Linked DNA regions of Oreochromis niloticus. The protein of the gene in region 1 interacts with the protein of each later gene in a biochemical or structural test. Links are inferred from orthologs where the notes say so. Each region holds a gene or a part of one and is shown on either strand. Other genes may lie near its edges. The genes, in order: gli3 and sufu.

What was found.
Region 2: the proteins of gli3 (region 1) and sufu are reported together in a solved structure, tested with the Homo sapiens proteins (2 studies listed by BioGRID and IntAct, with this or other methods). The link is inferred for Oreochromis niloticus from reciprocal best matches to the Homo sapiens genes GLI3 and SUFU.

What each region holds. Positions count from the first base shown.
Region 1 is NC_031974.2:14,113,825-14,129,877, forward strand, and holds the start of gli3 (transcriptional activator GLI3), read right to left. Parts: upstream 7,846-16,053; 5' UTR 7,404-7,845; intron 1-7,403. UniProt on the Homo sapiens protein: Has a dual function as a transcriptional activator and a repressor of the sonic hedgehog (Shh) pathway, and plays a role in limb development.
Region 2 is NC_031978.2:18,905,775-18,921,469, forward strand, and holds the start of sufu (suppressor of fused homolog), read right to left. Parts: upstream 8,645-15,695; 5' UTR 8,435-8,644; coding exon 8,286-8,434; intron 7,939-8,285; coding exon 7,804-7,938; intron 7,532-7,803; coding exon 7,395-7,531; intron 5,205-7,394; coding exon 5,062-5,204; intron 4,149-5,061; coding exon 4,063-4,148; intron 3,555-4,062; coding exon 3,482-3,554; intron 2,314-3,481; coding exon 2,157-2,313; intron 2,051-2,156; coding exon 1,948-2,050; intron 1,481-1,947; coding exon 1,346-1,480; intron 1-1,345. Other genes in the region: mettl18 (histidine protein methyltransferase 1 homolog), read right to left, coding at 14,625-15,593. UniProt on the Homo sapiens protein: Negative regulator in the hedgehog/smoothened signaling pathway. Down-regulates GLI1-mediated transactivation of target genes. Down-regulates GLI2-mediated transactivation of target genes. Part of a corepressor complex that acts on DNA-bound GLI1.

The DNA.
Region 1 (16,053 bases):
TCCAGCTTGTTTCAATAAAAGACAAGCATTAACATAAAGCATCTCAAAAAACACGCTAAATAAAAAAACCCTTCACCCCCTCGCTCCGTGTGTGCAAGAAAAAAGGGGTGGGGAAAAAACTTTCCTGGATTACAGGGTAATCAGGGCCATATGGGATGGTTCTGGGTAACTCTGTGTGTCTCTCTGAAGTGCACGACTTGTGTTTGTCTCTGCACATTATGACTTTCTGAATAAGAAAACTTTTTTGATTTTTACAGAGGATGAAAATGCTCAGCGATTGCACATAAAGAAAAGTAGCAGCAGCAGATAAAGGGTTTAGCTTTAACACCAAACTCGGTTCCTTCGGCTGGGAGGGTGGCTGAGGGAGCATTTGGGGGCTGAAGGATGCCCAGGTAGAGTCATAGGCAGTAATGGGAGGAGACAGGGACTTAGGGCGCCACACAAAAGCCAGGCTTTATAAATAATTCCAAAAGCTAACAGGATCCCTTGTATGTGTGAATCTGTGAAATACATTCACACGTGAATGCACACACACCCACAGACACACACACACACACACTGCCACCAGGGGGAATAGGTTATTCACACCGCTCCACTGGGGCTGTTGAGAGTCTGACCTGTCTGGATTGGTAAATTTGACCAAATCTTTTTTGCATAGATGATGCAAAGAAGAAAATAAGTCAGGGAATAGAAAAACAGAAAGGCCCATTTTTCCAAGTCACACACACACACACACATTTACACACTCACACTCACTCATAATGCAGGGCAGCAAAGCACACCGGAGACCTGTCTTGTAAATCTCTTTGTGAAAGCAGCTTTGGGGGGTAGACAGGGGCTTACATACTGAGCCCTGAGGTAGAGCTACAGACTCCACTCCCTCTAACCCCCCCACGGTCTTTCTCCCTCTCCCACACACATACTCTGCGCTCCCATGTTCTCTCTTCCTCACTTTCCACCTACCCCACATTTCCTCCACTTTTCTTGCCCTTCTTTCACCTTTTTCACTCGTTCCCTCCCTCCTTCCCTCCCACCATTCTTCCTTCTCCCCTCTCTCCTCCCCTCTGTCCAACTCGGGCTCCAGAGCGCTGGTCCTTAGCCCCCGCAGGCTCCCGTGGCGTTGCAGTGACTAATGTCCTGCCTTTGCTCAGACAATGAGTTTGAGACTGAGCCGGGAAAGTGTTGAGGAGGGGAAAAAGACTCTTGCACCTTTGACAAATGGAACCCTTCGCACTCCCATGCCCACTGAGGGAGCTTTTACAATGTTGCGCGCCACGCTCCACGTCCTCCAAGGGACGGCTGCAACCCGCAAAGCCGCATCTGGGGGAACATAATGAATTCTTTGAGAAGTCTAACCTGGCTTTCTTCATGAATAAGATATATTTCCAAAGCATGTCGACCCCTCTTAATAAAAACACCAGTCTGGCAGGAATAGCCAAAGCCGTTTTAGGGCCCCATGTACACGTTAATATTTCTGTTTCTCGATAAATTTTCTCAGGCCTGCTTCTTTCCAGGCCTGTCACTGCACGGCCAGCCCAACAAATTCCCTGGAAAGTAGAGAGGCCACGGTGACAAACTGTCATTAAAAACGGCTCAAGTCCATCTCTTTCAAGGAACTCAAACTCTTGGATGCTCCCTCCTCTTCTCCACGCACCCTACCCCCCATGCAAAACTGAAAGGAACCGGGCTTTGTCTGAGGAGCAAAGGAGAGAGGAATCCCCCCCACCCCTCTTCTCTACAACCCTACCTCCCCTCCCCGAACCCTGTTCCTCACTCCCTGCGGAGTATTGTTAAAACACAGCCCCCTCTCTTTCCGTGGCCCGGGCTCTTAAAACAGCGTGCTTTGCATGAGAAAAAACGATTAGTCTTCAAATGCTGCGCTGTCAAAGGAGGGCTCTTTCAGGTTCGGGTAGAAATTTGCTCAGATAGTAGAGTTCCCCTTTTGTTTTTCCAAGATGAGGCATTATTAGAGCCAGAGTCTGTTAGCATTCATTACTGAAAAGAACACACTAAAGGGGTTTATTCGGGATACCCGCCCCCCACGCCCCTCCTTTTCCAAGTTGCCCCAAGTCTACGGCAGACGGAAACGAAGGGGGCAGAGCGGGTAAAGAGGTACTCATCTAAAACATGTTTGGAGAGCAAAGAGAATGTCTGGGCCTGCGCTTCTTTCAGGTATTAACCTTGGGATTTACATGTGACATCCAAACAACAGACACCCCCTTGACCTCCACTCGGGGACTCACCAAGGCTCGGCGATAACTCCCACTGAAAGACAACTACAAGCAGCACGGGGCTGCAAACACACAGGGCGAGCATCGTTGCATGACAACACATAACTTAATTACTGCTGTGAGGGCAGGTGTTTTGTGCAACAAAATGCACTATACAGTGCTCAGTTTAAACAGTTATGGCAGAGAAAAAAAAAATTAGTGCCCAAACTGATGCCTCGGTGCAGCCTAGCCCCACACATCAAGAAGCAGCGGTACGTGACGGATCATTGTTCACAGCAAGCGGCCAGTTCATCTGTCTCCCAATCGCCACCCTTGACAAGAAAGCACAGACCCCCTCACGGATGCCACAACCGGCTCCCATCAAAGCTGACACAATGCCACATCTGCACTAAGAAAGAGCCCCCACCAAACCCGCCACCACCCCAGAGCCCCAGGAAACTGTCTCTTTAGGCGCACAAACTTTACACACAAACAAATGGGCCCCCGGACTAAAAGCACTTCACCTCTCGCTGCTACACTTCACGCGGCGGACTTAAAGACATTTTTACAGCAGCTACAGCAAACAGAGGAGGAGATGAGCGGCAGTCACGCGCAGGCGTGACCTGTCCCGCTTCTCTTCCAAAGTGTGTGAGAAAAGAAAATACCAGTCACGAGCTGGCACACCACTGGATCCTCGCACACAAGCCTGCGTTTCTGCCGCAATAAAATTTACCGTCTCCTACAGCAGGCCTTATGTTGAGCTGTCAAACACAGCTTCATCTACCGTAAATCCGAACCACTTGATTCAAATTTATGTGAATGTTTTCCCACCCCCACCATTTTTTTTTATTGCCGTTTTCTTCACCTCACTCTGGGAGGCAAATTGTCAGGTCCAAATGGAGTTTCCAAAGGACGAAAGCTATAGCAAAAAAAACTTTTCCAACTTTTTTTCCTTTTTATTTTTCATGCAGTTAAAAGACAAAAAAGGACAGTAAGAAGGAGAACAGTACACACACAAAAACAAAAAAAACTGTATGAATGAGAGAGCGAGAAAGAGAAATAAGAGTGTGAATGAGCACGAGAATGCATGTGCACTCAGAGTAGGACTGTTTTTGCTGGCTACCAAAGACCCAAGTGAATTACAATCCCTGAATGCGACTCATATACATATGTGAAATTACATTTTTCCCATCTCGAGTCTCATATCGCCTTCATCACTATTTTTCCTTCCCCGCCATACGACTTATCCAAAGACATCACCCCTTGGCTTGAAAGGTGCCTTTAGCAGGCTCCTTGAAACAGCGAGTGAGGGTCCCGCTCTGGGACAATGATGGTTGAGGTGGAGGGGAGCCGGGGGAGCAGGAACACATAGCATATTAAATCTGCTGGCGGAGCTGGGTCGTCCACGCACAGAGCCAGAGAGCCAGATCTGAGGCATGCCCTGAAGGGATGGCTGGGCCTGGGGATTAGGAGGCCAAGGAGAAGCCCTCGCACACCCGAAGACCCCTTCTTGTCTATGCTCATACGCAAATGCATCCAGACATTTTGACGCTCCTCAGGTTTGCTGTCTCAGCCCAAGTTTTCAGAGCACTCCTCCGTGCCTCACAAACTGCACTTACACACACACACACACACACACATTTCCACCCGCTCTCATGAACAGCCTTTTTTTCCCTCAATCACTACCTCTGTCTGACTTGTCCTCTTTCTTTCCCCACTGTGTCTGTTTCATTTGATGTCAACATATCAAAGTACCAAATCATCAAAGTAAGAGAGTAAGAGATTTCTTTTGGGGGCCATCTATTCAACTACGCCAGCCGTATGCAAGGAAAGCAACAGCTAATCACAATGTAGGCTACAAGAAATCCCTCCAACTTTCCCTGGTCAGGTGATTTTTATTATTACATAGAATGAAACTTAGAATTGTCAATTTTATCCTCTCAGGAAACAGGAAATTTTAGGAAAAGTACAAAAAAGCGAGGGAGAAAAAATCACCAAACCAACAGCAACCTGCAGGAAAACCCACAAAGCGAGCACGATTACACAAAACCTTCACATCTGTGCTCATTATCTAACGGATAATCAACTTCCCTCACATTACCCTCGTTTTAACAAAACATTTGCCACCTCTTTGAGTGCTTCAGGTTGTGGCATTAGCACAACAAAACAGCTCATTAGGGCTTCTTGCATACAAACCTGATAACAGGTATACTTCCAACAGGGTGAAAAAGGCCTGAGGACACAAACTGCCTGTAACTGTGAATGTAAGGCCCTTACAAAGAGGAGCAGGCCATACCTCAAAAGCTAATAGCACGTCATCTCCCTGCATTAACATGACATCTCCTATTCTGCCAGGTCACCAGGTCACAGGTGTCCTGGGCCAACGTCCCCATGCATAAAAGAGAAATGCTTAAAGTTGAGATAAAGCGGCACGCTGATGCTGCCGCCGCTGATATCTGACGGACCGATTCCTGCAGAGGGAAACGTTATCCGCCTTTTCCTCGCGCGTGGAGTTATGGAGCACAGAGCGGCAACGATACATCTTTCCTGGCTACAGTAAGCGAATGGCTCTAAGTTGTGCATCTCATTCCAGAAGATTAGCATCTTAAACAGTGCTGCATTCATCCTTGCTGCTGCATTGTAATGAGACAAAGTCCTTTATTTGGAAAAGGTGCACCACTTTCAGATAGTATCGTGCAAAAGCAGCAACAGCAAAATTAGATATACACACAGACAGTGTGCAGATTTATCATTTACAATTTTTCACAACATGGACTTCCTTGCGTATTATTTATTATTTATTAGATATTTGGAAAATATATATTACATACATTAGATTATTGTGTAACTATAGAAATTGAAGCCATTATTTTTGACTTGATTTAACCATTTAAAAATGTTACATATTTTGATCTATCAGCACTGAATTGTTGATTAATCGCCAAATTTAAATGTGATGTCTTATACTCTGAAAATAAAATGACAAGGGCCTCCTATGATGATATACAGGCAACTATATTTTTTATCAGTGTAATATTTTTAATTACAGGCATCGTCTCAAAACGCTTAATTAAGAAGTCACAGGCCATAAAAATGCATAAATGTATGCAAAAAAAATGTAATTATAAATTGTCTTCAAGTTGTCATTTTAAAATAAAGCTTAGGCCTAAAATTTTCAGACTTTTAAGGCCTGACTTGTCTGCTTTTATTTTTTTAACTGAGTGCAGTGGTAAATTTTCCAGCTTCAGGCCCTGCGAATGTTATTTTGTTACTATTAATAAAATAGAATGGGGGAAATATTAAATGACAGTTTATGTGACAGTGCCTATTTTATTTTATTGGACAAATGTTACCAAGACCTGCAAAAACCCCGCTCAAAGCCAAATCCTCAGACAAGATGAATGATGAGAGCAACCTCATAAAAAACACCCGAAAGGAGATTTATTTTTTTTTATCTGTGTGAACTGTTAAACATCTTATTTCGCGTGCGTTCGCTCGCTGCTCCGTCTCAAGGCGGCCAAACCTCCGTTAATAATTTGCCATGTGCCAAAAGAAAAAAACCCCCCCCACACACACAACACTCACAAAAAAAGGGAGGATTTGAGCTGCACCGCATGGCTGAGCACCTCGGACCCTCGTCGTTTGTATGAAACCCGAGAGCAGACAAGCAGATAAAATGTGGAACAGCTGGCGAGGAACAGGAGGGAAAGTTTCAAACAAATATCTGCACATGTGGACGCTCGAGGGCGGGGGGCTCCCAAACGTTTTCATGTCCTGGACCCCCAAAATGAACACACCAGACTTCTGTTCCCCTGTTCCCACATTTTTTTAAATCTGCACAAGCCCATGTGAGAGCTTTCTACTCTTCTTCTTCTTTCTATAATTATTATTATTGATGTAACTTTTTAAATGACACCTTGCATTTAAAGTATATCCACAAGCTTTTAAATACTAATAAATTCTAATCAACTAAAATACAGAGGATTTATGCTATATTTAATTTTGCTTGGGTCCCCCATAAAACCTCCCCCATGGACCCCCGCAGGGCCACAGACCTCAGTGTAATGGGCTTAAATTTCTCTGAGCACATGCGCATGCCTTCAAACACACTGTGATGTACGCTTAAATATGTTCTTTCTTGAGGGGAAGAACATCATTTTAAAAATTTTCCAACGCAAATCAAATTGTCAGAAGCTCTGGAGAGCCTCTTTAACTCCATCAGGTTAGCAGATGCAGACACGGAAAACTAAGATTTATATGAAATCATCCAAATACTTTAATTTTCTCCTTTTTTATAACTAAAAATAATTTCATGAGGAATTTTTTAATGTTATAATTTATTGTCAATTTTTTTTTGGAGTTTTTCCAGTTATAAGTTTTCAGCTAATTAAATTTTACAAAACTATAAATGACTCGGTGCTCGATAGTGAAGCAAGGGGAGGTCAAAGGTCAAGGGGAGGGTCAGCCACAGGTTTTGGATGGATTGAAATAAAAAGTTGAACATGTATGCCGTCACTAAGTGTTTCCCCGAGTCTCTCACTTGTTAAAGCAAATCAATAACAGATCCTGAAATATGATCACAAATGCACATATATATGAACCCCCCCCGTCTCATCCCACGCCACTATACACCACACCCCCGCGCGCGCTTATTTGAGGTCCAATAAAGTTTCACTTCCAAACTCTAAGAGTGATTTTCCCCCTCTCTCTCTGTCTTATTAAACTTTACAAAAACACGTTGTTCATTAATATGAAAGTTTATGCAACTGGTTTGAAAATGCACATCTGTCTGCGGTGGATACTTGTTAAGTCTGCCATCCGGGGGTTTCTAACAACCGACGCTTCTTTCACAGAGATTAAATCACAGCCGGGCCAAGCGTAAAACAGACAGTGGTGCATTTACGCTTTTACGGCTGTATTTTTTTCTTTCTTCTTTTTTTGGAGGGGGGGGGAGTCCCTGATCGAGGCTTTCTTCGCTAGTTTCATAAACTGTTCTCGCAGTTGGTGCACTTCACGTCTACATCTGAACTTGTATGAAATTCCATCGTTTTGAAATATGAAACCTCCGCTGCTTCACAAACTCTGAGTGGCTTTCTCAACTTTAAAAGCAGACAAACGAGCGCAACAATATTCAGAAAGAAAAAGAAAGTGTATTTGTGTGCGGTGTGCGCGAGCTTTCAGCAGATTACTTACTTCTCTCTGGGTGAATTCCCCTCTAATTCTCGACTTTAAAAAAAAATCTTCTCAGGCAAAAAAAAAAAAATATAATATATAGATTTGTCTTCTTTCCTCTTCTCCTCTTCCTAACTTGCAGATGTGCCTCTGGAGTTGCCTGGGAGTTTTTTTTTCTTTCTTTCTTTTTTTTACGCTGCAACTCCAACTCCAAAACGGCGCTGCCAGACTTTTTCCTCTTGTCTGTCTTTCTCCTCCTTCTCACAGTTTGCTGTGTTCAACCACCGCCGGACTAACACCATCAGCCTGCCGATAATATCTGCCGATAGCAGACCGCAGATGTGCGTAAAAACAACATAAGCGTCAGAGAAGCGCATGGAGAGTTGTTATTACATTTAGAGCGGTTTTTTTCGGGAAGAGGGAGAGAGAGAGAGAGAGTGAGGGCGAAGTGTGGGACTCCAGCTGCTCCTTCCCTCGCTTGACTCCTCCCTTCGGATTGCTCCCTCCTTTACTCACTGCCTACTCCTTTTTTATTTTGTGCAGGCTACCCCTTTCTTTCTTTCTTCCTTAGTAAGCATTTTAAAGACTTGTTCCTCAGTAGTACTATTTCTGTAGTAGAAATAAACCTAGAGGAGAGAAAGAACAAAATAAAACTCAAGTTTGAGTCCTTACACCACGAAGAAGAGGAAAACAGGTCCAGGTTAAGCATGAATGACTGCATTTTAGGGACCAAGAGTTAAATGGATCCAAGTTTTAACTAAAAGAAACTGAAATAATCTCATAGATCTCAGTTGAAAACACCCACTTTGTTATGTAGAAACTCATACATACATTTAACTGCAGATTTATGAGGGCTAAAACAGCCTCCTGGGCTCAGCCTTCAGAGTCATACCTACTAATGCTTCAGCAGAGGGAAGCCCTCCTGTAGGGTTAGGTGTAATCAATATACATAATCAATATACAGGGAAATTATGTGGTAAGAGAGGTCTTTAGGGTGCAGTTTCAATCAATGAAGAGGTGGGAGTTTGGGAAGGAAAATCAACCGTTTAACCAGCATTTGAATGTGTGTGTGTGGCCGAGAGGTCAGGTCCGTCAAGTCTATTTGTTCCTCATTGTAACACACATCCAATCGGCTGCTGTGACAAATGACTAAACCGTTTGATTTAAAGACAAATATCCGTCTTTTAAGGCTGCCTTATAATCACTTTCCTGACACTTATTATGCTGATAAAGTCGGCAATGACTAATTACTGCCCAATCAATCAGAGCTCAGGATCTTCTGTCACAACTGTCAACGTCTTTGTCATCGTTAAAAGTGTCGAGATTCTGACTTTGTCGCAATGTGAAGATGGATTTCGGATGTCAGTGTGGAGCAAGGTGACAAAACTGTGAACTATGATGAGTGTGTGAACGACTATATTGGTTTTCATGGGTGTCAAGTTTCTTTGGCATCCATAAAAATGCTTAAAAGATATTTATGTTTAGTTATTATTTTAAAGAGAAACAGACAAAATAAACAAGGTTAAGAGGTCATAAAACTAAATATAGAAGTGTTCCACGTGCACAAGAATGGAGTATGAGAATATGAATAGAAAACGCTCACGTCTGTAGCTACAGGAAGTCGGGCCGAGAGAGGAGACAGTCAAAGGTGCTCTGTAAGACAGCCGCTAATTCTCCTGTCAGTTTGTCAGGCGGTGCTCATCTGGCCCGGACTACACAGAGATAAAGTCCTTGTTATGAATCTCTCAAAGAGAATCCAAGGAACGTGGTAGTAGAGGTGGGAGGCTGGGGGGGGGGTGAAGGGTGGAAAGAGGATGGGGGCGAGGTAGGGGAGAACAAGAGGGTAAAGGAGGAGGGAGGAGGTGCACATGGGCATCAGTGGGGTTAGCGGCTCCCGAAAGTATTTCATCAAAGAGGGCCAGGATCCTGGGGATTGAGATTCTGCCTGGAGGCAAGTAACCAATGGTCTCCCAAGAACATATTCCAAAGTAGGACTCACAGAGCCAAAGCACACATCAAAAGCGCCTCTGTAGCCAAAGCGATTCTGGAGGAGAAAGAAAGGGGTTCAGGTCCCTTCTTGGCCCTCTTTAAGCCCCAGCTCTCACCCCAATTAAGAAGGAACTACTGTTTGTTCCAGACCCTGAGATCTACAGACAGGGAGGTGCGCTCACTAAGGTGGACGCTCGGGCGTGCTCACAAACAAACACACACTGACACACACGCGGGATGCAGACATCTTATCCCTGCGCACCCAGTCTTACTTTTCACCGGCTCACAATCGAGAAGAAGCGCCGTGCGTTTAAGATCAGCATCTGGGCTCATTTCTCAAATAATCACCAACCCCGCAGAGCGTGTTTCCAGTTTCAGATGATCTCACTGAAATAAAATGTAGCGCTCGGTTTGTCCGCGTACTGTATGTTACACATGTAACAGTAAATCAATACTTGGCAGAGTGTTGTGTAGGCATTTGGATTTTTTTTGGCCTTTAATTCGTCTCTGCTGGACAGATGTCACAGTGAAATGGATACAGCAGAATAAGCATATTATATCCACACAGATGTGACCGCTGGAAATGGAGCGGCTGCAAGAAACAGAGGAATGACAGGGGCGACTGTACTGTTTACTGCAAAATGGAGAAGTTGTAATAAGATTACAGAGTATCTGAAGTGTTTTCGGCTGTAGACAAACACAGGCGGGAAGTAGTGAGGAGCTGAATGTGAGTAAAGTTGTCAGTAAGTTTTTACTAAGCAACCAAATCTCTGCTGATCTCTGCCTACACATGACACAAAGTGCAGGTTATTAAATCCTTTTATGCTCTCAAATTAGTATTTTAATCTTCTCTAATGGAAATAAGGGCTAGCAGTTCTTTTGGAACCAGCCCATCTATATTAAAGGAAAACATTTTAACACTAAACTCCAAGACTTAGGCATTTGGTGGCTACTTGGTTACAAAACTTACTATTCAGTTCTTTACTCCATGCCCAGGCATTTATGTCTTTATCATGTTGTACCTAATATAAGAAAATAATTACAAAAAGAGTGAAATTTAAAAATATACATATTATCAAACATGTTGATATAAACCAGTCAAACATCATTTTTTTGCCCATTTTATCATTACAAGAAGAGAACACTGCACTTTCTGGAAAAATATTTAATTGCAGATATTAAAGGGAAAGCAATAAGCCATCAGCGGTGTAGTTTAAGACAAACATCACAGTATATAGTGCCAGGTCTATATATTGGGTACCCTATATCTCCTTCAAAGTATTGGAGTTCAGTGCACTGTTATTCTTTATTGAGGAGCCATATATATCTCAAAAATATATGCGTATAAAAGCGAAATGTGTGTGTATGGACACGTACCTTAACATGCAAATGAGCAAAAACACAGATTTCCTTTGCTTTGAGTGGCCTGACCTTTTAACCTGTGACTCCAGAAGCTTAGGATAGTTTGATAAAATCCTGCAATAATGTTCAAAACTTCTAAAAACTCCCAGCAGAGAAAATCGATCTTGCTTCAGCGTTGCTTTGACAACTCGTTTGACTTTGCACAAGAGTTTTTTGTAACAAGAAACAGAAAAAGAAGACTGTAAACATGAATACCTTATCCCTCATGACTTAATAATTACACATATTTCATTATTAAAGGTTAAATTAAAGGTTTGTTTGCCCATATATTTCCTGCCTCGTGTTTCTTCCCTGTGTAGTGTCTGTCTAATAAAGGCCCTAATGCATTTAATCAAAGTGTTTGCTTTCCTCAAGACCACAAATGTGCCGAACCACAAACGACAGGAGCAATCTGACATCTGCTCTGTTTGCCAGGGAAGATCTGGGGGCCGCAAAGGAGAACGCCAGCAGCCTCTAATCTACCGTCAGGAGCATGTTAGTTTGTTCAGAAGTCTCCGCTTTCAGTCGCTCTTTGTGTTGTTGTTTTTCCTGCTTTCAGTTTCCTCACATGTACTGTACCTGTACGCACTTGTACACTTAGGACACTCTCAAACGCAGCACTCCCAAACCCCCCCACCCTCACACCCCTCCTCCTCTCAGCATCCCTCCTTTTTCCCCCCTGCCGGAAGGTATTGGGTGGCTTGAGTGGGCCATTAGTGTGAATGACTGATAAGACTCTTAGCCCCCAATAATCGGGGGGAAAAAATGATATTTGCAGTTATTTTGAATCCGTCAGAAATAATAAACCCAAAACTATATCCACTTGGGCTACTTAAGCAATTTCCCTGTGATAACATCCCGTGGGGATTTCATGTGGATTCCAAATGACGACATAATAAAACCACGACGCCTGCACCCCCTTATCAGGCTGGATTAAAAGGGAATAATGAAACAGAGAGAGGTTTTGGAGCCTTGTGTGGTATGAATATGATTATCTAATGGACTCCAATGGAAAGGCATGTTAATTCTACTTTAACGCGAGACCTTTCCCAGACTATCTCCTGCCCCTGGCTCCTCCTAAGACCCTGTCTTTCCTCCCCCCCCACTCGACCCGTTTCTCTGCCTCTTTCTCCTCTTCCTTTAAGTTTAAATAATCGTTCTGCTATTTCCACAGAAGTCATTATGCCCCGCCGTCTATCTGTACATGGACGTAGGCATGGGAGTGATGAATCCTCGTTTTTCACACTCTTTTCCAGGCTGATTGGGCTTCGTTGGCCTCTTAACTTTCAGACAAAAGCACTCTAGGCAATTTATCAACATTCTGATTTTTTCCTTTTTTCCCGACGTTGTTGCTTGAAGAATATGGGTCACTTTCATACAAGCTTATATCAAACTTTCCGAGCATCCAGTCGGATATTACACGATGCTTGCTTTGAATAAGTATTTGAATGCTCGGCCAAAACAGCCTCAGTGTGAATAATCCCCGGCTATTTAAAAACAGTTTTCCAACACTGTTATTCAGTTTTAATTGTGCGCTCACTGCATGCACATCTGAAGCTGTTGCACCTTTGTTTCAAGGGCAAACAATTACCCGTCCATCACCAAATGAAGATTTACGTTGTGCAGGTTTGCTGTCAAGCTTCTGTTTAGATGTCAGACACATATCAGCGGTGTATGTATTTTGCAATGGGTGCTGACTGATTAAATGCACCTGTTCTTTTGATCAGTAGAAGAAGCCCCTGACCAATTCAGGCCCAGAGTGGGGGGTCATCATCGGGCCCATTAGGGCCGATAACACTCCTTGAGCTCCACGGTCAAGTCTGTTCTCATACAGCCGAGCACGCAGCGGTATTGTGGATCAGCGCACACATCCTGAGAGCAGACTGAGCTCCCACAGGACACAGTTAAAAAAAAGCATCAATATTTCATCAAACTACTCTCTCTTTCTGGTCCAGATCAAAGCCTCGACTCCCACAGTCCTACAGGTAGAGATGGCTCTTTTGTTTTTGCTCCTCAGGTAGAGCAGCAGTCAGACTCTGTTCGCTTTTGGAAATCTTGCAACGCTCAGCCCATCCATCTCGCCGCTTGCTGCCTCGCTTTTGGAAGAGGCGGTAAAAGGCACGAGTAGAGACTGTGAGGGTGAAAACATGTTCCAGAGATGTCCAGAGATTGAACTTCTTGGCCTTGTAGTGCTTTATTATTTCCTGTTTTTTTTCCTTTTTCCACTTTTGCCCATAGTGAGACTAATAGTAAAAACAATGCTGTTGTAATTCATCTTTTAGAAAGGCTTCCCAGCATCAGTCCTCACTGATACCTGAACCATCATCCTTTCCACTGTTTTAGTGCATGATTCCTATTGAAAATGCTGGAATTACAGGGCTGGCATTTGTAATAAATTTCAAAGCATAACTAATCACATTGGTCCAAAATGCAGTAATGTAACAAGTTACTGCTCTTACTCTTACTTCTCTTTTATTTTTGAGCTATATTATAAAGTACTGCCAGTGCTGGCTTCATTCTCACCAAAATATTTTTATGCAATATTCTCCTTTCTGTTGGATTTGTGCAAATTCTTGATTAAAGAGTGCAGCAGAAACATCTTGTGCATGCCCACCATATGAATATAGAGATTAGTGCTGCTATTTAGGCATGTGTATGGTTTAAAGCTACATAACTGATAATATATCCTCCATAATTTTGGTTTATAGCAAACATAGTTTTACAATCAGATCAGATCAGATGTTTTCAATCAGATGTTTTCCAGATGTTATTGCATGGTGGATCAAAACTTGATGGTGCATTTCTGTATTTATACACCCATCAGTTTTGATCTACTGATGATCTACAACACCGCTGGCTGAAATCCGAACCATGACAGAGCCCCCACCATGTTTTACACATGGCTCCACAAACACTGATGACAGGTGGAATCAAAATTTTTTCCATAAGACTTGTTGCCACTGATTTTCAGTGCGGTTCTTGTGTAGTTTTACACACTTCAGCCTTTTTTTCCCTGTTCGCCTTCCTTAAGAATGGCTTCCTGACAGCCACCCTCTCACTGAGACGATTTGTTATGAGGCTTCAGTGAACAGCAGATGGATCAACTGAAGAGCCAGATGCATCTCTCAGGTCCTGTGTCAGGTCTTTGCTGGATTTTTCCCCCCTGTTACTTAAGGACATGACTTTCAGATGCTTGTCATCTGCTGCAGATAGCTTTTTTTTTTTTAAGGACAGCCATTTTTCTTCTGTCTTTCATTTGTCCAGTTTCCTCAAACATTTTAAGGACAAACTGCACCCTATGGAGAGATGTGCCAAGTCTGGGAATCCCCTTATGGGCATTCTTCAAAGATTGAGCTAAGGCGGTGTGTTTTTCTAGCAGACTGTCAGTAACAAAGTGTCAAAAGATACATTTTTTTTGTTTCTTTTACTCATCTATTGGTTCATTTGTTGAGTGCAATACTGTTGTTGTGCTCAAAAGACTCACAACTCAGTGTTAAGTGGTTTAGCAAGGACTGGACTTAAAATGAGATTGCCCAAAGAAAATTTTTGAAGGACTCAGAAAGCCTGGAGAACTACTCCTCAAAACCTCCTTAAAAGTGACAAGAAAGCCTGGCTCGGTGGAAATGAAATATAAAGACATGAGGGTGGCTCAAGCTAGATGTTTGCACAGCACTGCAGTAATCAAGCATACATGTGCACAAAGTAAAAAGTACAAAACAGTTAACTGTACAATTTTATATTTCTAGTTTTCTTTTTGTTTAAGACTCAAATGAGACACAGATCTTTGGGTTTGTGTCAGGAAGGGTATACGGCGTAAAAAGCCTGCCAAAGCAAACATACAGAGCTACCCCGAGTCATGTCTCCCTTGTAAATAAGAGAGCAGTCAAAGTAGCAGCTAAAGTCAGCAGATTCTGATGATAAAGCAAAGAAGCTCACAATTGCACTTGCTGTACTAAAATCTAACCAAACTACAACCTATTTTGTTCTTCAGGGCTAACCAATTACAGTCTGAGTTCATTTTCAATATACATATTTCCCCTGTCCGCAAAAAGAGTGCAAAAGTGAATATTAAAGTGGCAGCTGTTAGAAACGCTGTGAAACAGAATCAATGCGTAAAAAAAAAAATGCGTTGGGTTCACACTCAGCACTCTCACAGCAGGCAGCTCTTTTCAGTGAAAATGCTCCAAAACTGTGCTGTTCACCACAGAGGCATCAAACAGCACACACAGTCGCTAGATAGCTAGATTCTAAATAAAAGCTGTTGTTGTCGCACAAGCGCTTGAAGTTTAAATGAGCACCTGGTTACTAAGTTCAACACAAAAAGCATTAAATATGTCAATTTTGTGCTTTCAATTTGCACCTGCTGCCTCCAAAAACCCCACTTTCAGCTAAACTGGGGCCTAAAAAGGTAAACAAAACAGACATGTAAGCTGTACTCACTGTATAGTGAGTTTGCCATTTGATAGTATTATCCAAATGTTTAATATACATTATTAACCTATAAAGTGCACTCAAAGTACCCAACAATGCTTTAAAAAAAGAAGTGTGCTACTAATGGTTACCACCTAAGCACTGTATAGTATCATGTATAACAGAATAAGAAGGAAGAGAGCAGCGCAGTACAACACAACCTGCTAGTAAGGAGGTTTTCTTTAATAACTCGGGAAAATATGATTGTTTTAATATGTATTTTTTCAATAATTAATGGATATAAGGATATAATATAAGGATAAGTGCAAGAAAATAGATGGATGAATGTTAGTATTTACTGCTGTTGTCTGTCAGCTTTAAATTGTGTGACATCAACAATGTTATGAATGGCAAATGCTGGAAAATGACCTCAGTACTGTCTAAAAGTGCTGTTTTTCTTATTTTTCTAATGAGCTCACAGCCATGGCAAAAAGAAACAACATAACAATAATAATGTGAGAGACTGATAAAGTCATACAGACAACCATCACTTCTTCTGCTAAAGGTGGTTCTACAAGATACTGAATCATGAGCTGTATTGTACATGACATGGTTTTTACCACGACTGCTGAAGTCCCTTTATGAACAATAATTTTTTTTTAAACTGATTTCAACACACTCACCTCAGCAAACACAGAAAATGCAACAATTTCAGGCATGCGTGCCGGGGCTAGTTGTTATTTATCTAAACAGAAAACAGTTTTTTCAGGGGACACGGCAGATCTGTGTTCTGCGTTTCTTGGAGAACGTCAGATCTTCTGTGCTGTCTCACTTGCTCTTCAGTAGTGGTGAGATCAGAGCTGTGAAATGT
Region 2 (15,695 bases), on another chromosome or scaffold:
ATATCAGAGAGGACAGTTTGTAGGAAATATGACATAATCGCCCTTCATGGCGGTATCACATAACTGGGACATAACACTGTGTTCTCAACACATTTCTCCTCCTTTTACACAGAGCTCTCTCTGTACAGTAACTCTAAGCTTGTTCTCTCCTAAAAATGAGTTTAAAAATAAAGCAGGTTGAAACTGCTGGGAAAGAGACTTCCTATTGGATAGTCCGCTCAGTTGGCATTTTGTTTGGTTACACACATTCCTATAAATGTCACCTGTGCCCCCCCCCCAAAAAGTAAACCAAATCCAGATATTACTGGATTGTAAATTCCACAAGTCACAGAGTATATCAGAAATCTTATTGTTTCCTATTGCAAGTTTGCCATTTGTCACTTCAGCATTAGAGGGAACCGGTACGAAGGAGACTTAAATGGCATTTTCTTTGGTTATACACATTCCTATAAATGTCACCTATACCCCCAGTAAAAAGTAAACCAAATCCAGATATTACTGGACTGTGAACTCCAAAACTCACGTTAGAGGCAATAGCTGCATTCTTTTTGTCAATAACGGACTGCTTTCACCAAGTGCAGGCTCTCTTCCCTTTCTCATTTTAAGATTAACATTTTTTTTTCTCTTCAATGTAAGCTGGCTGAAATTTTAAGGATTTATAGACCATGTGACTGTCATGAACATATGGAGGTAACTTTAACATAGAATTTATATCTGCCAATCCGTATTAATGTACTATCTTTGTCCTAAATTCTCTTCCTGCTGTTTGATACACTTCTCACTGTGTAGGCGAGCAGGAAGGAGAGCCAGACATTCTCCACATGCTGTGTTGACAGCACTGATTCAGTTGCTCTGTCAATGTACACTAATAACCTCGGTTGACTTCTCTGTTTAAGAAAAGCCAGGAAATAGATGTAAAAACACCAAAACATGTTAGACAAATACAGAGGATCAGAGTCTACGTCCAACAGTCCACTGTTAACAAATACTAAATTCCTGAATGTCAGTTCTCTGATGTTACAGGTAACATTAATATCGACTTTAAGCCGTTTCATATTCTGCTCACTTATGATAACACTACGGCCACTAAAAAGCAGCTAACTTGTTATTTTCTTCAGACTTTGAAGTGATATCAAAGTACATATGGGAGGAAGTTCAACTGATATTTGAGGGTGCCTTTCAGAAAGCCTCCTCATTCACCCCTGAGGAACTAGTGGTCCTACATGCCATTATACTCGGCCACACCTGTTCAAAATAAATATCTGGGGTATCCTTTCGGTCTCACATACATTCAGAAAGGGTTAATTTGCCCGGCGGCTGTAGGAGAGGAAGAATGGTGCTTTACCGCAAGCAGAGGGGCAACAGTGTGCCTGACTCTTGGTTGAATTTCAAATGGACACTCTCCAACTGCCGTGTTCGGACCAACTCATGAGGAACAATAGCTGCTGAGCTCTCACTCTCCAAACTGTCCTTTCGACTCCTGATAAACACAGAAAGAAGAAGAAAATAATCTTAGTGAGGAAGTAGAAAATGGTATGTTCATTGATGAGACTGTTAGAACACAACTAAGAAGGAAAAGGCAGCTTTTTGGCTCACGCACACACACAAGTGCACACACACACACACACACACACACACACACACACACACACACACACACACACACACACACAAGTGCACACACACACACACAGATTTCGCAACTCTTTTCATGAAGCAGTTACCTGATACAGCAGAAGACCCAAAATTCCACAGAAAAACAGCAACAGAATAGCAACACACCAACATAATATGCTGGTAGCTAAGAAAGAACGGTGATGATAGTTCAGATGTCACTGGGGATTTGAGTCACAGCACAAGAGGGAGGGAGTTATCCTGGCGCAACCCTTGTGCTGAGCTGAACCCATGTTAAGATTGTGAGTGCTGGAGTGTAGGAGGAACACTCACTGCGGTCTCTCGTGGCTCTGCTTCTGGCTGTTGATAGGTGGTAGGGCTGCTTTGCTGTTAAACTCCAGTCCTTTTCTCAGAGTCTCCCTGATCTGCTCTGTGTCTGTCAGCCCACAAACAAAGACAGAAACAAGTATTATTTCATTAGGTTAGGCATTTCTGCTCAGCTTGAGTATCTATCGTATGCGCTTCTTTGGAAGTTGGCATACCTTTGTCTGAGAGCCTGCGTGGCTGTGATCCAATGCAGATTGATCGACTGTCTTCCTCATCCTCTGGCGGCCGACTCAGATCGTCCCACACACACTTGGCGCTGACCCCACTCAGGTTCGAGCCTTCTGTCTCAATACCCTGGTCCACTCTCTCCTGCTTAGATAGGCAAGGAATATACACAAATCGTCAACACAAGCTCACATAAAACACAACGTCAACTTCTTCAGAAATGAAAATGATGCATAAATATCTACAGGCAAAAAAGAGGTGATAAAACTTGCAACAGCAAAACAAACCAAAAACAACAACAACATACGGAAAGAAAAGGTTCCCTTTAAAGTGCTTTGTACAAGATTTTGCTTCCAATATCAACAAATCATTGACCAGTACCAATTAGCTCTTCAAATGGTTTCTTTTCAACCACTACTACTTCTTTTGGCTGCTCCCTTTAGGGGCCGCCCCAGCAGACCATCTACCAACATCTCACCCTATCACAAGCATCTTCCTTTGTCACACCAACCCTCTGCATGTCCTCCTTCACTACATCCATTAACCTTCTCTGTGGTCTTCCCATTTTCCTTCTGCCTGCCAGCTCTATATCCTAGATTAAAATGCTTTGTCCAATACATCCACTATCCCTCCTCTGCACATGTCCAAACCATCTCAGCCTTGCCTCATTAACTTTGTCTTGAAACTGCTCTGACATGCTCATTTCTAATCCTATCCATTCTGGTCACTCTCAAAGAAAATCTTAGCATCTTCAGCTCTCCTACCTCCAGCTCAGCCTCTTGTCTTTTTGTTAGTGCCACTCCCTCTCCACCAACAGAGTGGGTCTCTTGAACCCATCTATCACTCCATCTAGCACACCTCACCCCTGTCTCATTGTCTTCATAAATGTCCTGCACTACCTTCAAATACTTCTTCTCCTCTGCTGACGACCTGACACAGTACCACAGTTTCCCTGCTCACACCCTATTGTATGCTTTTTGTAGATAAGGCGTGTCAAACATAAGGCCTGGGGGGCCAGAGTCTACCTGACAGTGAGTTTGACATCCCTGCTCTAGAGCCACAGGACGCAAGACAGTGCTACTTGTTCTGATCTTCTATATAGTGGCAACAGGTTTCGTTTGAGTCACACTAAGCTTAACTCTTTACAGAAAAATTAAAAATATATAAAATAGTAGATTTTGATAATGCTTACGTTTCCATGACAAACATTTCCAAAAACAGAACACAAAATAAATAAATAATTAAAGACCATAAAAATGCCTCTTTATGTCATACTGTATAAAAGCAACATGGTGCAGAATTGAGTAAAGCTTACTTGTAGCTGTGGATCAATTTCAAAAATGGTCTCTCCTCTCCTCATGTCAGTGATTAGCCAGGGGCCACCGGCTCTGTGCACAGGAAAAGCATCACCATTAGTTCAGGTCAGCATTAACTCCAAGTTAAACACACCAAGTTAATACATTAACAAGTAACTATGCTCTTCACTTGCTGCTCACAATGTACTCAAACTGAACAGCACACAATCTACAACAAAGTGGCATTCACATAATGGTGTTTCTATTCAACTCAGTTCCTACAAGTTCAATGATTGACCATTTACAGGCAACTGTAAAAAAAGAAAGAAAGAAAAACGAGAAAAATACTGTGTCTGAGCAGGTCAATCATTTAGATTTTCTCTGCCGGATATGGAGTGAACTAAAAAGGGAAAAAATATGTGTGTAATGCTAAAGTCAAGTTATACTTTCCACTTCAAATGATGACTTTCATGAGAGTTCTACAGAAAAATCACACGTAGGGTCTGACTAATCAACACCTACGTGTAAATCCAAGCTAAGCAACAGAATAAAAACGTAAAACTAGCTTTGACCAGATCACCTGCTACACAGTTCTACTCACACTCTGACTCCACGCATCAGCTCCAGGATACCCTGTCCATTCCACTGTTGGGCCGCCTGCAGCTCCTCTGTACATACTCCCACAATCTACAAGAGACAAATTTTATGGTTTTTACACCAACTGTTGTAAAACACCCCATACATATTTTATTAATATTGGGTAACATTACATAATATTGAATAACTGCCAAAAAATCATCTGACAATTCAAGATGGATTTTTGATACTGTGTTCCTCTTCTCATTTGCCTACAGTCAACTGTTGCAACCGTTTACCGTCACAAGGGGGCGGTGTCACAAACAACAGGTCTGCAAGCTACTCTTCGTTGTTGGTCCTTCAGCCATAGAAAAACGCAGTAATATCAGCTAAAAAAACAAAAGAATAAAAAGCATCCATTGTAGCCACCTGTCTGTGGCTTTTTTTTAAATCTTTGATTTCTGAGCGTCTCCTGTTCACACTGAACTCTGCTGCCACTTTTAAGCCAACAACTATGTGAGCCATGAACAGCATCATCGACATTAAGCTATGTAAAATGTAAATGGACTGGTTCTTATATAGCCCATTTCTACTCTGCCTGAGCACTCAAAGCCCTTTATACAACTTGCCTCATTCACCCATTCACACAAGCACACGGAAGTGCTTTCTAGCTAACATTCACAGACATTCATTTTCCATCCGATGCATCTGAGAGCAACTTGAGGTTAGTATCTTGCCCAAGGATATTTGGCATGCAGACTGGAACAGCCAGTCGAACCACCAACCTTCCGATTAGTAAATGACCTGCTCTACCTCCTGAGCTACAGCCACCGCTATCCTCTGCTGTTGGACTTTTGAAGGACTTCACAACAATGTTTACATAGTTTGCATAACCCAGCAAAAACCTACTCAAAGAGACACAAACGCAATACCGCAAATCTTACATTAAATAGCTCGACACAGAATCGTTTGGAGCCTACTGTCAAGTGGATTACACTAGTGACAAGTGACATTAAAAACTCACCTGGAGAAAACTCACTGTGCCAAATGGCGTCTGAATTGGTTGCATCTGTGGGTCTTCTGTAAGCAACATATGCTGGATACGAGATTCACTGTTGTCTAGTGGACTGTGCCACGATACATGGTCACCACTACAAAATGTGTTTTCTGCATAAGTGAAGAGAAAAAAAAAGACATTATTTTTTAAATAATAACAAATCATTGGATTATAATTTGTCTAGCAGACGCCCTGTCATGGCTGCTCATACAATCTTACTTTCCTACATTTCATCATCTGACTGTACATAAACGTTGACGGAAAGGTCCAGCAACATGAGAAGAGGGGAGGCAGATCAGAAAAAGAGGTAGCGTGAGTAAGAGGAAAAACAGTCAAAATGAGACCCAAATATGGAAAGAAAACCATAAAAACTACATTTCCGTCAAAGCTAATCTGACTGTTTGGGAGGTAACATGCGCCCACGCCAGACTTGCTTCAGGAGAAACGAGAGGGGGGTAGATGGCCAGGAATCAGCATTCATTTAGCTTAGGGGCCTAGCCCACCCACACACAAATTGACCCCAGCTGGAAAGCAGAGAAGGACTGAGTAGAGGTGAGTCTGGAGTAAAAACTTTCTGCATGCTCCCTTCTTGTCTATCAAATTACATTATTTACACAAATGTTGGATTCAAAGGAACTTAGCAACAGTGTATACACCCATGCAGAGTACATATATTCACACTACCACAACTGTTTTGTTTGTAACTTGTGAAAACAATCCTACTAAAAACAGCAAAAGATAACAAAAGGGAAATTAGATGTCCTTTGAATACCCAGAGCTACAACACACATAAATGATGCCCAGAGCAGACTCCTCTAGTTAAGCTTGTTTACATGCATCACTGGGATTTCAAGCTACCTTTACAAAGAACACATTCTTTGGCACACCACAATGTTTTTGCTTGGCCAATAGAGAGTTATCACATTAAAACTTTGCAGATCAATCATTTGCTAGACTGCAAACAAACTGTGACAAATAAGTACACTGTGTTACAATTTGTTAAGTGAATGACCAAGAATTTACAGATGGCTGCAAAATGGAAAAAAAACTAAACAAAAACAAAACAAAACAGCAAAGTGTCTTGGTCAGATTTTGGGCCACCATGTGCCACCAACCAGTATCAGTGCACCATTACGTAGATTCTTCAAATCTCTGGAACACTGCCAGAGCCATGATATGCATTTCTTTTAACAAGCTATCCCCTCTTTCGGGAATAACTTTACCTTTCTGTTTCAGTGGCTGTCTTGATACTGTTTATTCAGATCAGTAATAAGAGAACCATGATATCAGCCCCACAGTGCAGTGGCAAGTGAAAGGTTGGTGGTTCAGTTCCAGCCATCTTTGCTTTTTGTCCACTGTAAAAGGCTACAGCGGCTATTTCAAACTCTTGCACACTGATCTGATCAGAGATGTATCCTATAGATCGGATGTAGCAAAAATGCAACAAAGATGAATGTTTTGATCTTTGCTGAAAGTTCTAAAAGGTATTAACTGCAGCAACATGCACAGTCATAACATTGTGTGTGTTAATGCAACTCACAATTTAGACTGTGTCATGTTTACAATATATAAACTTAACTAGGTCTGATTGCAGTAAGTCTGCAGTTTCAATCTTCATGGCGAACTGACCAGGGTGCACATTCAAATATGAACCCAACATGACACTATAAGATTAATGGAAGGGTAAGCATGTCCGAAAGAGGCGAAACACGTCAGTCTAAAAATCTCCCACAGACGCTACACTTGTTTGAGATATGGTAATAGTGAAAGGAATAGTATAACAGTCACGTTATTTCCATTCTCTTTGAGTGACACCTGGTGCTCTATGAATGGAAAAGACATCCCAAAAGACAGCACTCACGTCAAGATATAAATATGACATCACAGTACAACGATCTATTTATTTTTTTAACCACTTAACCAGTCTTTTGCTGATTATTCAGTTATTTTCTATACAATGTTTAAAGCAACAAAAATAAAACAAAATTTATTTATGAAAATACATTTCTTTTTTAATCTGAAAGGCATTCAATTTGATGAATTATCACAACTTAATATAGTTTGTTTCTGTTGTTTAAGATGGCAGCATGGTGGTGCCCTAAGCATGAATGTTAGTATGAAATGAATGGTTGTCTCTAGTATCAGCCCTGTACTACTTCACTACTACAAATATTTTTGCTGCAAAACTACCCACAATAAAGTTTTTGACCTCTTCCAATTCTTCTGTTTGATTGTCTTTTAATATGACCTTTATCCATGCAAACATTTTTTTAAATTGCAAAACTGCTTTGTGCCCTTACCTGACTGGAAGACATAGCGAGCCAAACCTTGCATGAGCTCAGCTGGCCATGTTGGAGGTGCGGTCTCCCCCACCTCTCTTTTGAGTCTAAAAGTGAGCTCAAAGCCAAACCCACTTGGTCCATCTGGCCCTGTAAATCTGACAAACAAACTTTATGAGAAGATGGACTGACAAAATGTCAGCACTTATACTTTTGTGTTATTCTTATGTGCATGAGGGGTGTGAAAAGCCAAATACTTATTGAGATGAACAAACTATTCAGAGTTCACAGTTGGTCAGGAGGGGACATTTAGTAAAGGGCTGATAACTAAAATATTGTATGGGTCAAAATGACTTCCCACATTCAATAAACGGTCACACAGAGGGGCGTTTAAAAACCAAGATTTGTGTTACTGACACACAGTACTTACTCATGAACACGGTTATCCCCATACAGGTCACTGAGTCCAAAGCTCACATAGTGCCAATGCTCCTGGACGTCCTGAGCTGGACAACCTACATTTCTATACATACTGATGTAGTCTAACGGATCTGGTCCACCAAGCCTATGAGAAGCAAAAAATGAGAAGCATGTACAGTTTTGTTATTGTTGTCAGTGGACACCCCAATGTAAAGACATCTGGGTTACAATGGAAGTCATTTATACGTATAAACGTAGTGAGACACATTTCAAAAGCTGGATTTAAGCCAGTATGGCTTAGAAGAGAAATTCTCAAACTTTCCGAATAACAGTAACTACAGTATGGCTTCTGGATGTTGGGTTAGCTACAATGTTAGCTTGGAAGCTAAGCTAGTTCTAGGCTAATATTTAGCCATTATTAGATTAAATGTATTGTACAAATTTAATGCCCGCACGCATGTCAGACGAGAAACAGCAATATGGGTTACTTACCAATATTTTACAATAGCTGTTACTTGAAGCGGGTTTGCCTGCTCGGGATAAAGTCGCCGACATTCCCCATAGATAGCCTGCAGCCCAGGAGGAAACAGCTGCACCAGCCCGTGGGCTTGTGCACCACTGGTAGGCCGTACCTCATCCATGCCACGACCTCGAATAAACCGGGTTACTCTATAGAAACAACGTATATACAGTTACCGATGGCAACTACCACTTGTTCAAAATTAGGCTAAACTAAACCATAAAAGCTTCAGACGAGTACTGCTGTGTAATAACAAAAGATAAACTCTTTTCTGTTGCCCCACTCGGTAGTCGCCTGTTGCTCATCCTTTACAAAGAAACTACCTTACCATTGGTTGGAGAAAGGCCATTGCGTCAGTGACTGGCAGCATATTGTAGCCAATGAAAATAAAGATAACGGTTGTGTGAATTTGTGGATAAATGTAATTGGCTGAAATGATACTTATCAAACAGTTAAGGGGACATGCACTTTCAGGGTTGGGGTATTAACGTTTTTAAGTAGGCAAATTATGGCTAGGTAGTTAAAAAGACAAAAAAACAAAAAACAGCCAACAAAAAAGTAGAAACTCATTCAAATACTTTGCTGAGAAAAAAAATCCTTTAACTCCCATGTGACGTGTATGTACAGAATATAACCAGCAAAAAACCTTTCAAATAGAGTATGTACTGTCTGTTACTTGTTAAATTATTTCCTTGTAAAAAGTCTTGCATTAAATTTTAGGATTTTTTTTTCAGTTGCAGTTAAATGTGTTAAATGGAAATAATTCAAACGTTTTGGGTTGTTTTTTTTGTTTTTTTTTACTGTTTAATCTGTATGTCCTGTAAAATGATAGTCTCCAAAAGTAATTAGTTTTGTGTGAACTAAGGTAAGGTAAAACATATCATATAACAGAAATACTGACGTGCCTTTAAAATCAACTTACGTGTTTAAAGTAGTTACTCGCTTTACGCCCATGCAATAACCATCCACCCACTGTTTAGACACTTTTACTGTTCTGATAAAGTGTTTACTTTATCAGTTAGAGTCAGAGATTTCAATCAAAATCAGCCTGAAAAACGTAATTACTTTGAAGAGGCCAACAAGTTAAGATGTGACCATGACTGAGCAGTCACTAAGACACTACACTGTGTGTTCCATGTTTTGAATAAAAATGCAAACATATCAAGGGCTATAACACAGCATAATCTGGACTATCTGTTATGAAAGTGCACATCTCCAGTGAATAGTAATTAAAGATTATTCAAGATTTTTCTCATTTCAGAAGCTTTCCTGGATTCTAAATGAATGATAACAAGAAGGGAGGGAAGTATTATTTCTTTTTGAAAAAAGTATGAATCCAAAGAGCTATTACATTTCTAAAGAAACACCAAGTTCATTACATAAGCATTTCTTTCAATAGAGTGAATGCATTAATGACAAAACACAGTGTTATAGCATAGTAATGCTGTATATAATAGTGATAAATAAATGTAAATACATTATCTAAAGATTCCTCATCACTAAGAGGTGGCAACCTTTTTTGCACATATGTTCTTTGTGCCTTATCACATGCAGTGTCACACTAGTAACTACTGCTACATATTATATAACAACCTAAAGAACTGTATCCTGTGATGCTGTTTAATCCAAGTGAAGTTTGGTTCAAATCTAGTATAGTATGTTCTCCATGATTTCAGTCCCACTCTAACCACTGTGGCACAAGTCCCAGAAACGAGTATAGCCTGAAGGACTCACCCCCCACCCACCCCCCACACACACCAAAATGGGAGATTTCTTCGGTGAGGTTGGAAATGATGTATTGTCCTGTCATGACGCTTCCAGACATTATCAAAAGACTTTGTGTAGAGTGTATGGCTTTTTCCAGACTGACTTTCAGAGACACATCTGGGAGCTGTTTTGAGAGAACGCCTCCATTGCAAATGGCACAAATTAAAACTAAAAAGGACGGTGCATTAACAAAAGGGGGCATGGTTTATGCGGGGCGTAGATAAGAAGAGGAAAAGATAGCTAATACACTTTCGTTTTGAATGTAGCTTAGATGTAATGATGTGGCAGCCCTGTGAGCACTATGATTCACTTGATATTTACTGTTTCAGTGCTGGTTACAAAGACCCACATCATAATGTCATTTAGTGATAATAGTATTATAGAAATTGCGTACTTCTTTCATTCCCACCAAGTGTAACACTACACTGCTTAATTTAACTTGAGTTGCCAACGCTGATACCAGAAATGAGTTGCTTTAAACCTGTTCTGGTGTGTCATAACTACAATATATGTAGGTGAGTATTCCCGTCCTGAACGACTACACAAAAACGTGGTGTTTTGTAAGTTATACTTCAGATTTTTGCACCAAAGGCAAAACTTACGTTACCGATTAATTAAGTCAAAAAGAAAGCACATATTTAATACTGACATACTTTTACCAGCTCTCGCAGCATTTTGGCATTATTAAGCTATAGCCATGTTGGAGTTAAAACATACATTTTTTTATGAGAGGCAACATACGCACACACATACACACAGATATATATATGTGTGTGTGTGTGTGTGTGTGTGTGTGTGTTTAACATTTTTAACTTTAACATGGCTGTAGCTTAATAATGCCGAAATGCTGCAAGAGCTGGTAAAATTATGTTAGCATTAAATACGTAGCAGAGCAGCTCTTGAACTTTCTGACGTACTTTTTACCTTAATTTTTCCTTTTAAAAAATTGCTATTAATTAATAAAATCCCCACAAATATGGTTGACTTTTGATTGGGTTTATTAACAATACATAATGACACTTTATAATAATACTGAGAAACACATTAGTCATTTCAAAAAGTATGCTTTATTCACAGCAATAATATGTGCAATTAAAAAGTAACTCATCATTCACAGGAATCTCCATACAAACGTAACACCAAGCATTATTTTATTGATTTCACACGGCGGTAACTTCGGCAGTCTGGTGCTGTGCTGTACGGCTGACAAACTAGTACCATGCCAGAAGAACTGAGCCCATAGATGACACCTGAAGATGTCACCATCTATGGAATTCAGTTCTCATAGTAGAGCACACATTAAAATCTGTTCCTCGGGCACTTCTGGATCCTTGAATGACTTTATTGATTTACACAGCTCATACTTCAACACTAACTCTTTTCACATCTCATTAAATCTCCCATTAAATAATGAAAAAACGAAGAAAAAAAAAAAGCCAACTATAAGAATAATAAAATTAGTTAACTCTAAAAACTTCACAATAAATGTGGGCTGCAGTTAAGTGACACATGTTGAGCAGCACGTTGGGGTTAGGTTACCGATCCCAATTTCTGAAGAAAGGCTGGGTAATGATGAAATGATAACGTCAGCTGTACTTCTTCCAGTGTAAGATTGAGCAAGAGGTCATTACTGTGGTAACTGAAGGGATTAGTCACATTTAACATTTGCTTAACAAAGTGGCGTATGAAGAAAAAAAAATGGCTGTTAATGTGCAGTGGTTAAGAGGTGTTTTTATATAAGTTGAAAATGAAAGTAAAGTGGGAAACAAGTTCCAAAAGAATGGAAACGATTCTGTGGTTAGAGAACATATGGAGAGTTTCAGGATCATTTGAGCAATCCAGCTGGTTTTTATTTTTTTCATCTGTGTTCCTGGAAATGCTTCAAAACTACTGAAATGCAAGTCTGTCCACTGGAAGCACTGAATCAGATCGTGGTGATAGTGCTCTGGTCAAGGCATGAAATGACTCATCAGTTACAGCAGTACACTCCCAGTAAAAGCGCTTTAGGACCGTGTGATTAGTGACATACAGTTAGTCGACGTATCTTTGAACCCTGCAAAGTAAGTTTGATATTAACTGACCTGCACTGTAATTGATTCTCCTCTTTTATTTAACAAGAGAAAAAGAAAGAAACCCCCCACCACCACCACCCAAGGCCTGGAGTCAATATTGACAGTGAAGATACAGTGAAGATAATTTGTCTGTGTTATCTCAATCACTGCAGTTTATCCATTATGATGGTGCATTCTTTTAAGGTACAGTACAGCACGATGAACTTTCGAAGGAAGGCCACACCTGAGTATGTTCAGGAAACTCATATCTTTCCGGCAGTTGGACTGGGAAACAACCGGTTCTACGGCCTATCACTAGACAAGGCCAATCCCCTATGAGATCATTAACTGTTTCTTAAAAGTCTACATCAAAAAATTTTCACAGTGTGGCAGGTTTAAAAGCCTTCATTTGCTTTTTGCTCAAAGAATGAAGAAGTTAGCATTTCTTTGACCTATTTAAAAAATTTTCAACACCCCCCACACACACCCAAAAAAACATGTCATTTTCTATAAGCTTTTTGAAAACCACACACTCGATTTGACCATACTGAGAGTTTTCTTTTAATATACTTACCTTGGTTTCATTGATTTCCTTTCCTGATCCTGGTTATGTCATAAACAAACCTCCTCATAAAGGCCTCCCAGGATTATTTCATAGTCAAGCTTTAAAAAAACACACTTTCGCAGTCCCATCTCACCAGAAAGAAAGCAGCAGGCTTCTTCAAACTCGGCAAATATACATTCCTCCTCAAATCACCTGCACATTCTGCTCGCTCCCCAATGTCCTCCAGGTCCCAAGGATGGATGCAGCATACTGTCTGACATTCAGAGAAAGAAGCACTTAAATATCTTGCCACCTTTCACATCACCCATCATCCTCCCTCCTCTCTGTTTTTCATACACTCCCTCTGTACGGTAAGCCTGACAGTCACTTCCCAGTAAGAAGGAAGCAGTGGGAGTGTAAAACACGCCCCCTCACAGTGAATCAACACATAATAGTTTCTGAGGAAAACCATCTGACTTGCCCTGCCCCCTTGTTCCCATAAAGTAAGCAGGGGAAAGGCTGTGTCTACTGGAGGGGCCAGGAATTCCCCCACAGGCCCTGAACAGCTGTCGAGATGAGAGACGATGACGAAGCGGACACAGTGGAAGTTTGCCGGCCAGGCATATGCAAACAGAAACCATGTTTGGTGTATTTTATGTTTCTCTGAGTGAAATAGCATTTAACACTACAGTATATTTACATAATAAGCCGCTGGAAATTCTGTCCACACACTGTGGGTGTTGAAATGCACAGTCATGTTAGAGCTGGTGACATTATGTTTCCTAGAAGTTTTTCTTTTTTCTTAATCTTTGCTAAATATTATTTTATCAGCGGGTCTCTCTACAGTGCTGACGTCACGGGTATGTTTAGGATGAGATTGATTCTTGAGAATGTTTGTGTAGCTGGAGTCATTTATTCAGGTGGGTCTGATAGGGCTGTATTATAAAAGAACCTTTGTTTGCTTTCCGATCATAGTCAAACACGACACACGTACAGGTTGTATTTAGTCACACGGATGAGACCGGGGCGGCAGGCTAAAATGACAATTTCAGAACAACACATCAGGCAGTGTTATTCAGTTTCATTGTCGAATGACCCTGTGAAAACCCTCTGACTTCCTCATCCTCTTATGTAGTCACCTCAAATGCGAGAAACTGGTCTGGACTTGAGGCATACTTCCCCAGAAAAAAAGCCCTTTTCGAAAAAAAGTAGACGGATTTCCTTGAGCTGGACAAAAAGGGGATTCCACACGGAGATGGAAAAATTACAGCAAAATTCCCTTTCTTGATTTTGGATGGATATTTGCCCATACTTCCTGCATAGGCATATGTCTAGACATTTTCAAAAATGTTTTTTTTAAATTTTGCACTGTTGCCAGATTATGTAGTGAACTTCACTGAAAGGAAACCAGTAAAATAAGAGCTACAGAGACCCCATAGAGTCCCACCATTGATGTTCAGTGACTCCAGAATCCACTTTCAAACTACATCCTTGGGCTGGTGGGATAAGTTGCAATTGACATTTTGTGCTGGACTTCAGAAACAAGCCTGGCTTTCATGCTGGTGTTTGAACACTGGGGAAATCACTCGCAAAGGTCACTGAGCCCATTTCCTTTCTTTCCTCTCCATGCATCTAAAGACCTGTAACAGCCCCTTTCAACTGCACTTCAGTTACTGGCAGACATATTCAAATTCCGATATAGGAAGTGAAAGAAGGTGTAGGTAACAAAAGAGCAAATATGAGCCAAGACTGTGTTTTTATTGCAGTTTTTCCTTGTTTAACCACGGCAGTTTTGACGTACCAAAATAAAGACAGGAGTCATAACGACACAGCTGGCTGATTCAGGACTGCACACAATAATCAAGCAATAGCCTTGCTCTAATTTTTATTTTCATTCAGTTTTTCATCAATAAATCAGATAAAACCGATGAGCTCCTGACATTCCTTACTCAAGCGTCCTTTGACTTTTTAAAACGCAGTACTACCACATGTCTCTGAAGTCCTTCTTCTCCATCCCACAGACGATCCACAGAGAAAACACCCCTCTGCTCCACAAATGTTTCAAAGAGATGTAGTCCACCACCTACACCAAAGTAGTGGGATTTGGTGGCGAGGTAGACCAGACCATCTGGTGCCAGCAGTTTGTGCAGGGTCTCATGTAGAGCAGGGTAGTACGCAGTGTTGTAGATAGTCTCTGATGTGAATATAAGATCATATTTGGGTGGTGGATCTGTCTTTAGAACCAAAGCGAGAAATGTGCTCCAGTCACCAGAGTAAAAATGACACCTGGTTAGTAATGGGTGCTGGGCTAAGTCTATGGCTTGCTTCTTAGGAGGTGGGCTGTTTTCTGTAATCTCCTTCTGCCCTTTTGCCTTCTTTTTAGAACCATCTTCCTCCTTCATTTTTTCCTTACCACTCCCTTCTTTGTCATCTTCACTGTCTACTTCATCATCCTCTTGGCAGTTTAGCATTACATTTGGCACTGTGAGCTGTTCAATGACTGTACTGTTATAATCTTGGAAGTGGACCTGACTGGCTCCCCTCTTCAGAGCCAGTATTCCCAGCAGCCCTGCGCCACAGCCCAAATCCAAAACCGCCTTCCCCCCAAAGGTCTCTCCATCTTTCTCAATCAACTCCAGAAGGTCATACGTGCACTCCCACACCTTCAGCCCTCCCTCGTACACACCAGAGATGAGGTCAGACTTCTGCTCTGCTGTGCGTGAAAGAATTTTTTCGCTGTCCTCTCTCTCTGAGGCAGTCTTCTCAAAAACGGTCTCATTGAGGAAGTGCAGAGGAGGAAGAGTTCCAACTGTAACCGTTTCAAAGACGGCATCCATAAGGAGGAACTGTGGATCGGATGGCGGAAAGTGCTCGCTGGCCTCTTTTACTGGTTGTGCTGGTTTGGCGCCGTCCTCTACCTGCAAACAGAAAGCAGTATGCACAGTTGATAATAAAACCACTCCCTCAGCAATGTATGTGGGTGATGGTCACAAGTTGTGACATGAATAGACAATAAAGGA